2 linked regions of the Drosophila melanogaster genome follow. The protein of the gene in region 2 purifies or fractionates together with the protein of the main gene of each other region. This does not show direct contact. Each region holds a gene or a part of one and is shown on either strand. Other genes may lie near its edges.

Region 1 (7,636 bases), on a different chromosome or scaffold from region 2:
CGATATTCCTAATACGTTTTTACTACGATTACTTTTACACGTTACTTAGTTTTAGATAGCCAACGGAACGTTCTCCGCCGGAGAGCGACGCCTCGCCGCGATCTGTAGGTATTCAAATCCTTTTCGATGCGGCGCGCTCACATTCGTATACATAAATTATTACCGAAAAGAAGAATAAAAACCACTTGCAGAATAACATAAATTTGTGATAAATTTATAGCACTAGCAAGCCAAACACATTACTTTGACCACCAACAACAAGCTTAACTAATATGTAATTTTTTTATGCCCATTGGAGGAAACAATAAACAAAATGAATTCAAAAGCACATACTTAATTGATTTAATTATGATTTTTAGTTGTTAGTTGATTAATAATCGAAATATAACAAATAAAGATATATATTCAAGCTATAAACCGTGGTTTTTTTATTTGAAGCTGTTTTTTCGATTTTCAATTTACTTGGTTTAATTTTAATAATTTAAATATTCTGCCTTGCGTATAATTTTTGCGCCAATTTTAGGGTGGCCGTGTTGACTCGCAGTTTCATAGCATTCAGCCTGTTGATGTGCACTCGCCAAACAGCTGATACCACAAAAGTACTAAATTTGGACACGCGCCTTATATGCACGTGGAGACGTTCCTTCGTTTAAATTAAGTTTTTTATCAAAAATATTGAATTAAAGCCGCGCAACTAGTTACTTTCCACGATGTCGTCCTCTTTCTTCCTCAAGCCAGGCGCCAAGGGCACCAAGAAGCGCAAGGTAAGTGAATCAAGCAGCGTAGAGAGCGGCACCTGTAACGCTTTCAACAGAATCCCGCAGCAACAACAAAAGGAAAACCGCTTAAGAAAGGCGGAAAACCGGGTAAATCAACGCCCGCGGCTGGTGGACCAGTGCCAAAGAAGCAGCGCCGTCCCAAGGAGGAGGACGAGGAGATAGCTAGCGACGATGAGGAGTACAACAGCGATCTGGGCGGCGATGACAACACCTTGGCATTTTCATCCGACGAGGGCGAGGAGGAAACGCCGCAGGACAAGCGCCTGCGTCTGGCCAAACAGTATCTGTCGGAGATCGAGAAGCAAGAGGCGGAACGCGCCGAGGATCGGGAGCTGGCCCAAAGCGTGGAGCAGCGCTTGCAAACGGAATACTTGGATAGCGTGGGCAAACTGCGCCGGAACATTGCTGGCAGCCTGAAAGCCTGCGAATCGAGCCGCATCCTCAAGCACAAACTCCACCACACGCCTATCTGTGCCCTTGCACTCAGTCCGGATGGTAAATTCCTCTACACGGGAGCCAAATCGCAATTCCTACTTAAGTGGTGCACGGAAACGGGGAAGGTGCTGGAGAAATCGGACGTGCTGTCGCATCGCGAGGAACCAGAAACGGGCAAGAAAAGGCGATCGCATGTCATCAGCATATGCCTGTCCTCGGACATGAAGTATCTGGCCTTGGCCGAAGGTGGTCCACACATTCAAATTTGGTGTCCCCAGACGATGAAGCACATTAAGACTCTTAAAGGCCACCGGGATAGTGTGGCAGGTCTGGTCTTTCGCAAAGGCACACATGACTTGTACTCGGCAGCCAAGGATCGATCGGTGAAAATCTGGTCCCTGGATGAGATGGCCTATGTGGAGAGTTTGTGAGTACTATGCTAGTTAATCCCCCTTAATATCAGACATTTAACGAGCTCCTCCTTTCAGATTCGGTCACCAAACGGCAGTAACTAGCATAGATGCACTGAGTCGAGAGCGCGCCATTACCGCTGGCGGTTCGGATTGCTCCTTGCGCATTTGGAAGATCACAGAGGAATCGCAGCTGATCTACAATGGACACAAAGATAGCATTGAGTGCGTTAAGTACATCAACGATGAGCATTTTGTGTCTGGTGGCATGGATGGGTAAGTTGGGAGTCTGGCTAACTAATTCAGTATGGAAGTAACAACACCATTTTACAGAGCAATCGGTTTATGGAGCGCTTTGAAAAAGAAGCCCATTTGTACAACGCAACTGGCGCACGGAGTGGGCGAGAATGGCGTGGCCAACTGGATAACCGCCATTGCTGTGGTGGTCAACACGGATTTAGTGGCAACAGGTGGGAATTGCGCATATTTCTTACTGCGAACTGTAATTAAATATTCATGATTCTAGGTTCTTGTGACGGTTGCGTCCGTCTTTGGCAGACTAATCCCAACGCGCGTAAAATGAACCTAATCCAGAGCATATCCATCGCCGGCTTCATCAACGGACTGGCTTTCAATGCCGATGGCAGCAAGCTGTTTGTGGCCACCGGACAGGAGCACCGCCTGGGTCGCTGGTGGCGACTCAAGGAGGCAAAAAACCAAGTAGTTGTACTCGACGTTAAGTTACAGAGCGCGGCCAGCAGTTAGGTTAACTTCTAAGCTTAAGTAAAGTTGTATAGTTTTTGTAACAAGAAACGGCCTGAAAATATATACATAAAGATCATTTGTATCTTCTACCTGAAGGTTCTTACTTTCAAACATATAAAATTTATTTGTTCTTTATAAACAAGATCAAACGAATGTTTTTGAATTTATTAAATTTGCTTCAGATTGAAATTTAACTCCTTATATTAAAGTAAGGGGTATCTGGTCGTCTATTTCCATTAGCTCAAATATTTTTTCTAAAACCGATATTCGGTTTGTTATAACCGCAAATGGTTCCTTAGTGTTGGCTACTTTCAATAGCTAGTCATGGTCACACTGGCCCTGTTACAAAACAATAAGTGCTGAAATGTTGCCGAAATTAAAAACCGGTGGAGGGTTCTTCTCCTATTTTAAGACTGAAAAGGGCCGAAAACTCGTATTCTACGCGGCGGGAGCCACCACAGTGGGCCTCTTTCTTGGAAACTTCCTGCCGCACACATTCGGCCTGAAATATTACCGCGATTTCGTGCAATGCTACCAGTGGGTGAGAAAACTTTTGGTGACTGGAAGCGATTCTAACATCCCACTTCTTTTCATAGACACGGCGTGGGGCGTCCAGTGCCGGAGGCAGTGCAGCAGCGCCTGGAAAAGGCATTGGATCAGCTGGGCGTGACGCCCTTTGAGCGAAAGTTTGTGAAGCCCTTCACCGTCTTTGGATTCGATGTTTTCCAGGCGGGCACCACTAAGTTTCGATTTGGAGGCGCTTTGGGCATACCGGTGAACTATGGATACGACAGTCTGGAGGAGATTAAGCGGGCAGACATTCGGTTTAGAGACAAACAGATCAACTGGAGTTCTCCCAGCGGAAAACTGCTAGAGGAAGCCATCGTTTTGAATGAGGATGAACAGATTTTCGGTCTTAGCAAGGCTGTTCTGCAGATGCAAACCCATCGGGTACTGCTCAACTCCATCTTTCCCAGCGTCAGCTTTCTTATGGTTTACACCATGGGTCACTACCTCAACCTGCGGCTAGATCTCTTCGCCCGCCATGGAAGCGTGAGTTTTCAACCTCTCTCACTTTTAAAATTTTTTACTGATTTCCGTTTTTCAACTACCAGGTGCGGTTTGTGCTCTACAGCATTCTGGGTCTGTTTGGCTTAGGGCTCTGGTCCTTCATGAAAGACTACAATCAGGTCTCTACGGACGCAGAGATTGACCAGCGACTGGCCACGATGGGTCCCCAACTTGTGGCAGCTGGAGCTAGCTTTTACGACAAACATCTAAAGAAGAACATCGCGCTGAGGGAGCTGATTGGAAATGACGTTTACACTGCACTGGGCAACGAAAACTATATGATTCGGCAAAAGTCCATGCCGCTAACAGCACGAAAATCTTTCTTCCTGGAGAAGCTGGAGGAACTCAAAAAGGCGCAACAGCCTGAAACAGAGTAAACACACATTTATTGTTACATTTTTATTGCCGGTTGAAGAAAATATATATGTTTCCAATAACTTTACAAATATCCTTGTTGTGTAGCCTATAACAGTGGATGATAGTTGTCCTAAACCTAACAAAATTTCGAGTGGATTATCTCGCCTAGGAGTCTCGAAAATTGACTAGAAATCATGTTATAAATCTGGAATGACCAATGGCCAATGCACTTAAAACGCTTCCTCGCCCACAACATCACTGATGGTGGCCACCAGGCGACGTGCATGCTCCACGGCGCATGTGGCGGTTACCAGTCCCAGATGAATGCAATACAACTCGTAGACGCGCACTTTGGCCGGTGACAGCTTGGGGAAGCACAACTCCGCCAGATCGTGGTAATAGTCCATTGTAAGAGCACCTGGTTCTGTTGGGGATTTCGAACCGTTGCCACTGGCTGCTCCTGTGGACAGAAAGTGGTGCTGCAAATCCACGACGGTACTAAGAACGCCACCAGACATGTCCTCGAACCAGAGGAAGTACGAGTAATGGAATGCCTTATCCTTCCACATCACTGTGGTCTGGCCCTTCTTAAGGTAATTTCTCGCGATCTCCACCATGCTCCAGAGTTTTGTCTTTGGCACCAGCTGGTTCGGTCGCAGATCCGGAGCAAGCATTTGTCCTCGGCTGCGATTGACGTACATAAAGTGCACCAGACCCGGAAAATCCTCCAAATAAGCATCAATGGATATGTTACGAGTGGCCTTAACGGCCAGAAATTCAGCGAACTCCAGTAGCTTGGCTTCCACATTCGCTGCCGTATCAGAGAGTTGATCCAGCTCATGGACACTTGAGCTGTCGCAGCAGGCCAGTGTGAATATCTGCTTCAGTTCCTCTCCGAACGAGGGCAAATTCGACTCAATCCTCACGAGCAGCTCCCGCTCAAAGTTCTTGAAGTACTCAGTGTACATCTTGCGAAGATTCTCCCATTTAGCGGCGAACTTCTTCGTGCAGTTCTCTAGGTCATCGGTTTCCGATCGCTGTTTCAGATATCGCTTCAAAGCGGTCAAGGCCTGCACAATAAACGATTCGAGGTTCTCGAAGGCGGGCTTCAGGGCATCCGAATCGCCCTGATGCTGAACAGCCACGATTTTTTGAAGCACAAAGAAGGAATCGTAGATGCAGCTGGTCAGTGGCATGTGGGCGTACTCGATGACCTGCAGGAGAACTTGGTTACCATGGAGACGCGAGATGTGCACGATACTGGGAACGCAGCCAGAGTTCACATCATAGGAGACACCCTGCAGGAATACAGCTACTGCTCGCTGGGAAGGGGACTTTGGCGCTTGCAGGGCGCGTGACATGAGGCTGAGGAAGAGTAGGTCGGCGGCAGCAAGCGGCAGAGCTTGCCGAGTGCTGTTCGCGGCCACCAGCTTGTTGGAAACGAGCAACAGGGCGTGGGCTCGGGGCAGTCCGAGCTGGCGCAAGTGCTCAAGCGTGGCGTCCAGCGTCAGATGCACTGTCCTCTTTAGTTCCGTGTTGATCAGCAGCCTGGGCATGGCCTCCAGCAGGTACGTCTGATCCTCCTCCCACAACAAAGTCTCATAGCAGTCGAGGCACTGCGTCAGCAACTCCTGTTGCATGGCCCCCGCCTGGGCGGCAAACAAATTGGCGCCGTAACAATAGCGCGTCAGCGTAATGGCCACACCCATTTGGCGACCCAGCAGCTCCACGGGTATTTGTCCGATCTTCAGAAAGGTGAAGCCAAGAAGTTCGCCGAACACCAAATTGAAGCCTTGCTCACACTGCAGGCTGGAGTAGGCATTATCGAACTGGCACTGCATTATTCGCTGAGATCCAACGATGGGGCTGAAAATCTGCAGCAGTATGTTGCTGTCCAGGGAGCCGCCGGACTGGAGCAGGCCCTGGGTGGTGGCCACACTCCGGATCTTCTGCGCCAGCGGCTCGTTAAGCTTCTGGTATACAACATCGTTGGCGCTGTTAAACACAATCAGTCCGTTCATTTTCTTATCAGCATTGGCAAAACACCAAATACACAACAAAACTTTCACCAGTGTCACTGGTGCTGGGTAACGGAATTCGGTGTGTGTTCTGATAAGAAAAGGTGAAGACTTCAAGTCAGCATTTAACAACACTAGAGCGATTCAGCTCTGAGCAATTCAACGCTTTTCAAGCCAGAATTATATATTAAAAGCCTAGTATACGTTCGACTTTTTTTATCCGAATTGCCAATTGAAATTGCTTTTAGTTGAGTTACTAAGTATTGAACTGTAATAAGTTTCCTGATCAAATTAATTTATAATTTATAATATATGAATTTTCAAATTTATTGCATTTTTTTATTATTGCAAAGCAATATCGCTTTGCTTAGATATGAAGAACACAATTTTAAAATTTAATTTTATCCCGATTTACAAATTAAGCTAGATGAACGACTTCTGCCGACGTTTGACCACACTGACGACAGCTGACTTTCTTCTTCTTGCGACATGCGCTTATGTTATCATTATTTGGACAGACAGTGATTTGTCCACTAATACAGCACTTGACCATCAATGGGACGTTTAATTCTGGAACACACGCTGCAGGGCCACAAGGGGCGCATCTGGGGAGTGGCATGGCATCCTAAGGGCAACGTATTCGCCTCGTGCGGCGAGGACAAAGCCATCCGCATTTGGTCGCTGACCGGGAACACTTGGAGCACAAAGACCATCCTATCCGATGGCCACAAGCGCACTATTCGCGAGATCCGATGGTCTCCATGCGGTCAGTACTTGGCCTCGGCCAGCTTTGATGCCACCACGGCGATCTGGTCGAAATCCTCGGGAGAATTCGAATGCAACGCAACATTGGAGGGTCACGAAAACGAGGTGAAGAGCGTTAGCTGGTCGCGATCCGGCGGACTACTGGCCACCTGTTCGCGGGACAAGTCCGTGTGGATCTGGGAGGTTGCCGGCGATGATGAGTTCGAGTGCGCCGCCGTTTTGAACCCGCACACACAGGACGTGAAGAGAGTGGTGTGGCATCCAACCAAGGACATTTTGGCCTCCGCCTCGTACGACAATACCATAAAAATGTTCGCAGAGGAGCCCATAGACAACGACTGGGATTGCACAGCCACTCTTACTTCACACACAAGCACGGTTTGGGGCATTGACTTCGATGCTGATGGCGAGCGCCTGGTTTCCTGTAGCGATGACACCACAATAAAGATTTGGAGGGCCTACCATCCCGGAAATACAGCCGGAGTGGCTACGCCCGACCAGCAAACCGTGTGGAAGTGCGTGTGCACAGTGTCCGGGCAGCACTCGCGGGCTATCTACGACGTGTCCTGGTGCAAGCTTACAGGTCTGATAGCGACTGCCTGTGGCGACGACGGCATTCGTATCTTTAAGGAGAGCAGCGACTCCAAGCCAGACGAACCCACGTTCGAGCAGATAACCGCGGAGGAAGGCGCTCACGATCAGGACGTAAACTCGGTGCAGTGGAATCCTGTGGTGGCCGGGCAACTGATATCATGCAGCGATGATGGCACCATTAAAATTTGGAAAGTGACCGAGTAACATAAGGATTATTGTTTGATATATTTAAGTGGGTAATTCTGGAACTTAATTTTTGTACAGTGTCTGCGTAATAAAAAATTAAAGTATTCAAATGATGGATGAAGTGTGTCATACACGATTATGGGATGCATTACACCTAATATGGATTGCTATTTGCTGAGGAACGGTTCCTGCAACGTTTTGTACAGCTTCTTGGCCTTCCGGGGACCCAGTCCCATCACCTGGGAGAGTCGCTCCT
Region 2 (8,160 bases):
AGCCACAGTCGACTCAGGCAGAGGCAATCGTCAGCCGTGTTACTACTCGTAGTGAAGCCAAAACCCTCAACTGTGCATGCCAGGGTGGTTCGATTTGTTCAGCAGTAAATGCAACTTGTTCACCTCTGTACACGTAATAATCCATTTTGACCCTTGCCAGGTATGAAAACTACAAATATTAAAGCCTTCTTACATACTTCAATGGCTTGCATTCATGAATTCCCGGGTCCTGCGAATTGTTTAGACACCTTTGCTTTTAAAGGTAATTTTAAGATGTTTCCCTTCATTGCAAATCGAACCACCCTCCAAGCAAATACATATTTTTGTATAAATCTTAAGACCTACCATAAGAGTAACAATTTCGTGTTTCCTGATATTATTGAGTAAATGATGTCTCGCGCTTACGAGACAATCTCCCAATCTTTTGTAGCTTTTTTGCCGGTAATCTCCCATTTGCCCCGCCTGAGCCAAGAATTTATAATACACTGTGAGTAGGATGTATATCTTTGTGTATGATATAATCAAGTTAATTAGTTTGTAAATAAATCTCATTTAGTTTCCTTTTGCGTTCAAATACAAATTTACTACGGCTTCGTATTGCGAACGAATATATATAATAAACACTTAGTTGGATTGATAAAGAAGTTTTCGTCTTTAGGCAGACTTGTAAGATATAAGCGGGCATCTATTTATCAAAATAAAAAGAACTTAACAGGATTCAGTTCGTAGATCTTAACGTACAATAAGCAAAATTTCCGATCTATCTTACGAATCTGGGCTACTCATTGCCTTCCTTAAGCGTAGGGTAAGCGTACGGGTTCGTAACTTAGTGTTACCAAAAACAAAGTGGGAAAGTCAGCGTATTTATACTCAATCTTATGTCTTTTTACCGCCCCGCTTGGCAGCAGGCTTCTTGGCCTTCTTGGGAGTCGGTTCCTGAGCAGACTCCTCTTCGACCTCCTCGGCGGCATCATCCTGCGGCGGCGTCTTAATCTTTTTGCTGCTGGTTGACGCCTTCGCCGGCAAGTTTTCCTTCTGCTCCTGCTTATCTACATTCTCGGCTTCCTTGTCGGCATTATCCTGCGGCGGCGTCTTGTTCTTTTTGCTGCTGGTTGACGCCTTCGCCGGCAAGTTTTCCTTCTGCTCCTGCTTATCTACATTCTCGGCTTCCTTGTCGACATTATCCTGCGGCGGGGTCTTGTCCTTTTTACTGATGCTGCTGCTGCCAGACACCTTCACTGGAACATTCTCCTTCTGGTCCTGTTTGTCCGCTTTGACCAAAAAGATTGCGTGCTGACCACCGCCAGATGCGAGCAGCATGTGCTTCCCCTGCGTGTTCTTGCTGACAACCACGATCGGTTCGAGCTCATCATCGCCGTCGCCAACGCCTAGTTGATTGTTGACACCGGAGCCCCAGGAATACAGTTTGCCATCAATTGTAACGGCATAGGAACAGACTTCGCCACATCCAACGGACACAATCTTTTCGGTCAGCTTCTTTACAATCGTTGGCTTCTCCACAACATCCTTGACATCGCCCAGACCAAGCCGACCGTACTCCGGACGACCCACTACGGAACACTTAAGGTCCGTTGTCAGGATGACAGTATGGTGCTGACCGCCGGCAATATGTCGGATATCTTTGAGTTCCGTCTTGATGGGCGTCAGTGCGAACTCCTTGCCCTTTGTCTCGTGGGCCAGCTGCTTGAAGTTGTTAAGCCCTGTGGCCCAGATGACCTGTGTCTGTGACTCGCGCATGAATGTGCAGTAGTTGGTGGCCCAGATGGCCTCAAAAGGTTTGGCCCGCGTGATGATGAGCTGGGTGGGCCGCAGCAAGTCGCGTTTGCCACGACGACCTGGGGGTTAACATTTTTTTAATACGAATTTCGTTGAAAATTTGAATGCCAAGACTTACCCTCTCCGGAGATGGAACGCTCCGACAGCCGGCCGAGTTGTCCCTGCTCAGCGCAGCCCACGGTAAAGACCTTTCCGGCAGTGGTCAGGATGACCAAATGATCGGCGCCGGACGCGATGCTACAACAGACAGTGCCCTCCATCAGATCGATGGGCGTACGCTTGTTACCATCGATGGTGAGGCCCATGTTGCCATGAGAGTCCCGGAACGAGCCCCAAGCGAAGACACGGCCATCCTCCAGCAGACAAGCGGAATGCGAGTCTCCCGCCGAAATGCACAGAGCCTTGCCGGGCAAATCGATAAGATCCGGCTTTGACTCGCTGCCATCCTCGCTGGTGTCACGGCCTAGAGCACCTTCGTCATTGCAACCGAATGAGTAAATGTCCCCTGACTTGGTCAGCACCAGGTTGTGCATGCCACCGGCGGATATGTCCACGGCATCCGGGATGCCCGCCACAGGGCTGAGACGCTTGCGCTCCAGTATGTCCTCGCCGAGACCAAGTTGGCCCACATCGCCGTTGCCGCAGACTAGCACGTTGCCGAGCACGGTCCTCCGCTTGGGCAGCTCCAGATGAAAAGCGATTCTGGCGCGCTTCGCCTTCGGTGGCTGCTGCTCCGCTTCGCCGGCATTGTTGTTATTAGTCAGGGCCTTTCTGCGCGGCATTTTAGCTTGTATTTTCACAATTTTTTGTCACCGAAACTGGAAATAGTGCGTTTGTGTGTGTGTGTAAGAAATATATATAAGGTTAGGGACGCCGGTGATGCAGCTTAGTTCTGCTCACACTCACAATGGAAATAATGCCGGTCTCTGGTTCAGCGGGAGTTCCACGTTGTCTAGATGGTGTTGCTACGGCGGTTTGGAGGCGAGTGAAAACACCAAATGCAAGCGAATCCCAATGCGACCTACCTGGGTCGAAGAAAATGCGCGGGAAGCGGCGGCAGCTGGCCTTCAGGGTACAGTGTTGCGGGCTTGGCGAATTCCCCGCCGCATCTGGCTATTAGCGAGGTCACACTCCAATTTCAGGGTCGCTTCTGCGCCTATTGACCAATTGTTAGTACATCTTTGTTATCTTTGCACTGTTCCTAATTGCAAATAATAAAACAAAGCCTGCTATAACCCACAGTTTATTTATTTCGAGATATTGATAACTTTTAGAATGGAGCGTAGCGTGAACTCAAACTATGACAGTTGGTTAACAGTTCTCTAGCGAGTTTGCGAGCCGATTGCCGACCGATTCTATCGAAAGAGCTATCGATAATGTGCGGGAAATTTAAACTTTCCTTACCCACTCACATTATTTCAAAACAAATTTGTTGTTAAATATTATAAAATGTTCTACCTTTAAGCCAATGCTTCATTTTCAACGTGATTGTATGTATATTGCATGCTATAGATCAGAAAATAAACAATACTATTTGAAAAGGTTTTCCATTAACTTTATTACAAAATACATAGAGTTACAATATAATTGGTTATTCATTTACTTCCCATATAAGTCTATCTAGCCACTGCACCGCAAAGTGAGTGCATCAAATACAAAAAGAATCCACTTTGCCCATTCCGCATCCGCACTCCAAATCCCGGCAGCCGACCCTCGATTTCCCTACCCAAACATTAACATTTAATCCGACTGCCCCCATTCAGATATGTATAGTACGTCTGTCTGATGCATCTGCCACTCAGCACTAGCCGTACAAAACGAGCAGAATTGATAAAAACGCGAAAAATAATAATCACTTGATGTCTGTTTGCGTATACATATTGCATGTTTTTGCCATTTTTTAATCAGTTTCGCAAAAATGATTTGAGCGTATTCCCTATATTTGTGTATGCAAACACGCCCCTGCGAAACCACAGCCATCGCAGCCGCCCACGTAGCTGATTTTATTATCAATTTTAATAAAAAATGTTTGTGCACTTTTTGCAGCACCTGTCGGACAGGTGGGCCTTTGCCGGCCCGAGTACACATGGACATGGACCCTATTTATTGGTAGCCACGTCAACCGTCGTCAGCACAGCCAATTACGCAAATTAAACAGATTGTTATCCTGTCGCGACAGAGGACACAGGACGCAGGACAATGTGACAAGCTGGGCAGCTTAATTCAATCAACGTGACATAATTACTTAATTAATTAAGAGCGCCCAGCGGTCACACATTCAAATCGGCCATCATTTTGCGAAAGTCGTTCAGCGAGCCATACATCTCGAAGTCCGCTCCCCCGTTTCCGGTTCCGCCTGCGTAGGCGCCCTGCGATCGTTGCGATCGGGTACTAGGTGGGCGTGGCAGGGTCAGCGGCACGGGCAACAGTTCCGGCATCACCGAGTGGTGCGTGATCAGCGCCTTCAGCGAACTGAACTCCTTGGTGAAGCCCTAAAATGGTAAATACCATCATAATATATAATAAATATTATATATAATGTGCTCGGACTTACCTTTATCTTGTAGCCCCTTTGCGTCCGCAGGATCAGATAGTGGGCCACTCGTGGTGAAGGTGGTGGCACTCGCAGCGAGAGGGCGAAACATCCCGGCTTTGTGCTGCTCTGGCGCACTAGAAACGCACCTGGACTCTGTCGGGACAGGGCCTCCAGGGATATTTCCCTGGGAATGCCCGCTTGAAACCAGGCGGCTCCCTTAAGCTCCTGCTGCTCGGCTAGGCTGAGATTATCCAGGCGCAGGGCACTGTGGCCGGGAAACAATTTCGGACTGGAGTTGGCTGATAATTACACGGAAGTAAGGTAACCTTAGCCAACCATTTCATATCTGTGACATAAGAGTCTACCTACCGCTGCACGTCTCTCTCAGATACTTTTTGCTGGCGGCGGGCAGCTCCACCTGCAGCCGCTGGGTGGCACTCTCCAGTGCGGACAGTGACTGGCGGCAGGAGTCGCCGAACTTGCTGGCCACGTACTTGTCCGGCTCGCAGATGGCCTCGTTCACATAGCCATCGGAGATGGTCTGAGTGGATCCACAGCCGGATCCGGAGGTCAGCGAGGAGCCGCAGGTGCTGTGCATCAGGGGGCGGCTGTCCTCGGTTCCCCGCAGCAGTCCAATGCCCATGGTCAGGCGTTTCACCTGTGAAGGGATAGGAGTGCACAGAAAGTAATTATAAGTATTAATACATTCCCATTATTACATTCCCATTGTTTAGTATGCAGTTATTTTTGAATTGTTATGCAACTTAAGTAAAGTGTGATGTAATATTAATAACATTTACTACTTTTTGTTTTCAGTGCATCCATTGCTAGTGGTACGATTTGCATGTTGCATGTTGTCTGCCAATTTGGCAAAGTTTTTGCATTGCTATAATGGCGATTTCGGGACAACTCTCGCCTGACCGTCAGTATCGGTGCAGGTGTGTATTCATTCAGGGATTTGTGGCGCCACCCCCCACAGCTTAACCCCTGCTCCGGCTTCCGCCCGGAAAATCCAACAAACATCAAACACACTTTAGCTCTCACGGCCAGAACCACAACAACGTCGTGCCACACACTTCCAATTCCCCCCCCCCCCCCACCACACCACACAGAAAACAACCGAGATTGATGTGTAAAATTTTTGGTTACCAATAAAATGTTAAACAGCGCTTGCCACGCCCCCTTGGCCACAGTACGCCCACTATGGCAACCACTGGCTTTTGCGGCAAATTACTTTGAAATGAGTTCGAGCCCCGAACGAAAAGTTTGTGCTACTGCCTTTGGGTTTTCATTTTGCAGCTTTTAAATCGTTTCCCATTGCGTTGCGTAATTAGCAGTCTAAGCGTAAATTGGACTTGCTTATTTTGGTCTTAACTTGCGATAATTATGTTGATTTTATGGAGATGAGTGCCGATTTACTTGGCCAGTATGCGGCCAGTTAAATTGAGGATTTTCGCTCGATTCAGGCTCGTTGCTTCAATTGCAGCTAATTAAATTGGCGCATCGACGGCACTTGGCACTGTCGTTAAGTATGCAATCAGAGCATCGTGCCAACCTAATGCCCCCATTATGCTAATGGCAATCGGAAGGGAACAGCAGCGCATTATGCAATGCAAAACGCGAAGGACTCGAGCTCCAGAAGTGCCACAGCAAAATCCCGAACGTAAAGAATGCAGATGGGGCGGAGGCGGGCTGGACTTTTCCAAGGTATTTTCCCAGACAATGGCACAATAGACGTGTCTAAGCAGCATTCGCAGCAGCGATGCTCCCATCTGCCATTTGATTTTCTTGCATTTTCTCCTTGCCTTGTTATCTGTTCGAAACTTTTGCACGTTGCCTACTTTCAGGCGGCGCCAGAGAAAAGTTGCTCCATTGTCCTGTTGGCAAGGATTCCTTTCCACGTCCTTTCCCTAGGCCTAAAAACACGTGGCTGTCGGTTGCATTTGGCGCTGTTGCTGCGATTTATGTGTCATAAAGTCAGTAAGTTAACGCCATTTGCCTGCCATTTGCCATGGCATCCTGCATTGTTCACCAGGACTCGTGTTATCCAACTTCAAACTGCACTACGGCAAAATGGGAAGCATTCAACGCCCTGCCATGAAATGGTTTAAGTAGAAAGTTATGAATGAATGGTAACGGGGTTTCGGTCCAAGTTGTTGCCGACAAAAGAAAGCAATTAGTTAGCTAACTATGCTCGCTTTAGGATTATGGACGGCAATTGAGTTACTGCTCATTTAATTGGCATTTAAAAGTGCTAAGTATGCCCTACTCAACTAAATTTAAATTGACAGTAAAATGCAGTTTAATTGCAAATACTTTAAACTTTAGTTAAACACATTTAGGACTGCTCTTTACAAGTGAATTATGCTCGCATGTCAAGTGACAAATTTCTTGCGAAATTTAATATCTGAAATATACTATATAAATTTGCTAAAATCCATGAAAATCTTTTAAAAAATGCTAGTAATGTTTTACATTCAAATATTTCTGGATTTTCTTTTTGGGTAATATTAAATTATTTCTCTCAGTGTCCTCCCATTTGTTCTGCATTTTCGTCGTGTGCAGCTAGTGCACCTTTGTTAGTGGCGCGTGCCAAAGTGGCGTTACTCGAAAATTTGCATTTGTGCAAATTAATTTAATGAACTCCTTTTCGGCTGCAGTTTTGGTGGCAAAAACAATTTCCACCTGAAGTGCCTACTCCTGTCGCTTTCGAGTTCGATTCAAGCAGCGCAATTTCACACAAGTGATTTAAGGTTTATGCAATTAAAACAACTAAATAGAGAATTTAAGCTAGGCAACATGAATTGAACGAATTTTCCCTCATTTTCCTCGCTTTTTGCATTTCGTAAATGCTGTCTCGATCTGAAGTTTTCCTTTTCCGCCGCTACCTGGCATTTCTTTCACTAAGTGCATCCCCAGCCGATGCTCCTCCAATAGGTAATTCCTTTCAAATTCCCCCACCAGCTCTTGTTTCCTGGCAAATCATCAGCGTAAGCAGATTTATGCTCTGTGCAAAGTAATTTGCGAGCAATGAGAAATGGCCAACAAAGGAGCCTGGCAACAAAGCAAAACAAAAAAAAAAATGATTGCTCCCTCGACTGGCATCGCAAAATCCGTCTCTGTTTTCAATACATTGGCTAATAGTTAATATTAACTAGCGGAATCGGCAAAAAATGAGAATAAGTTATGTATTGAAAAAAATCAGTGGGCATACATTATGACCTGCCATTCAGAGTTATTATTTCCTTTTGCATAATATATATAGAAGTGTTACCCTACAATATAAAGGGCTTTCTTATATTTTTCCGACAGCTTTTTAAAATATGACTACCATTTCTTACAGTGAACCCTCGCAGAACTTACCAGCGGCGGCTTATCCACCAAACGACGGCAATTATTCATTTCTGTGGGCGAATTATCCTCCTCGGAGCTGGGCGAGCGCAGATGGTGCGGATGCGGATGCGAGCCGGGTTGCGGATGTGGATGCTCCTGTCCGGACAGCTCCTGGACATCGTGGTGGCTATGCAGCAGATGCAGCTGCTCCACCGGGCGGCGCTGGAGTTGCGGATGCGGATGCGGATGCGAGTGGCTATGCGGATGCGGCTGCTGGCGGGGCGGATGCGGATGAGCCGGCGGATGATGATGATGGAAGAAATGCTGCGGCGATGTCGTTGTCACTGTTCCAGCAGCTGCTTCACTGCGGTTAACAAATGAGCGAGAGGATTAAGGACGAGGTATACTTTGCGTTAAAGATTAAGGGAGTTACTTCTGCCCTTCCCTTCCCTACACTCACCTGGCTGGCGACTTCTCAGCTGTCTCAATCAGCG

What was found.
Region 1: the proteins of Rcc1 (region 2) and HPS1 purify together in Drosophila melanogaster (affinity purification with mass spectrometry, with the first as the bait; one large-scale study listed by BioGRID). This does not show direct contact.

The regions. Positions count from the first base shown.
Region 1 is NT_033778.4:14,853,714-14,861,349, reverse strand, and holds HPS1 (Hermansky-Pudlak syndrome 1), read right to left. Parts: upstream 5,922-7,636; 5' UTR 5,839-5,921; coding exon 4,048-5,838; 3' UTR 3,848-4,047; downstream 1-3,847. Other genes in the region: U3-55K (U3 small nuclear riboprotein factor 55K), read left to right, coding at 711-764, 815-1,641, 1,703-1,900, 1,958-2,094, 2,151-2,389; CG33506 (uncharacterized protein), read left to right, coding at 2,754-2,926, 2,986-3,442, 3,505-3,837; Ciao1, read left to right, coding at 6,391-7,398; Ercc1, read right to left, coding at 7,548-7,636.
Region 2 is NT_037436.4:5,929,703-5,937,862, forward strand, and holds Rcc1 (regulator of chromosome condensation 1), read right to left. Parts: upstream 3,072-8,160; 5' UTR 2,704-3,071; intron 2,616-2,703; 5' UTR 2,580-2,615; coding exon 1,916-2,579; intron 1,857-1,915; coding exon 877-1,856; 3' UTR 560-876; downstream 1-559. Other genes in the region: Egfrap (EGFR adaptor protein), read right to left, coding at 4,068-4,289, 4,352-4,632, 4,703-4,991, 7,697-8,030, 8,127-8,160. UniProt on the Drosophila melanogaster protein: Promotes the exchange of Ran-bound GDP by GTP. Involved in the regulation of onset of chromosome condensation in the S phase. Binds to chromatin.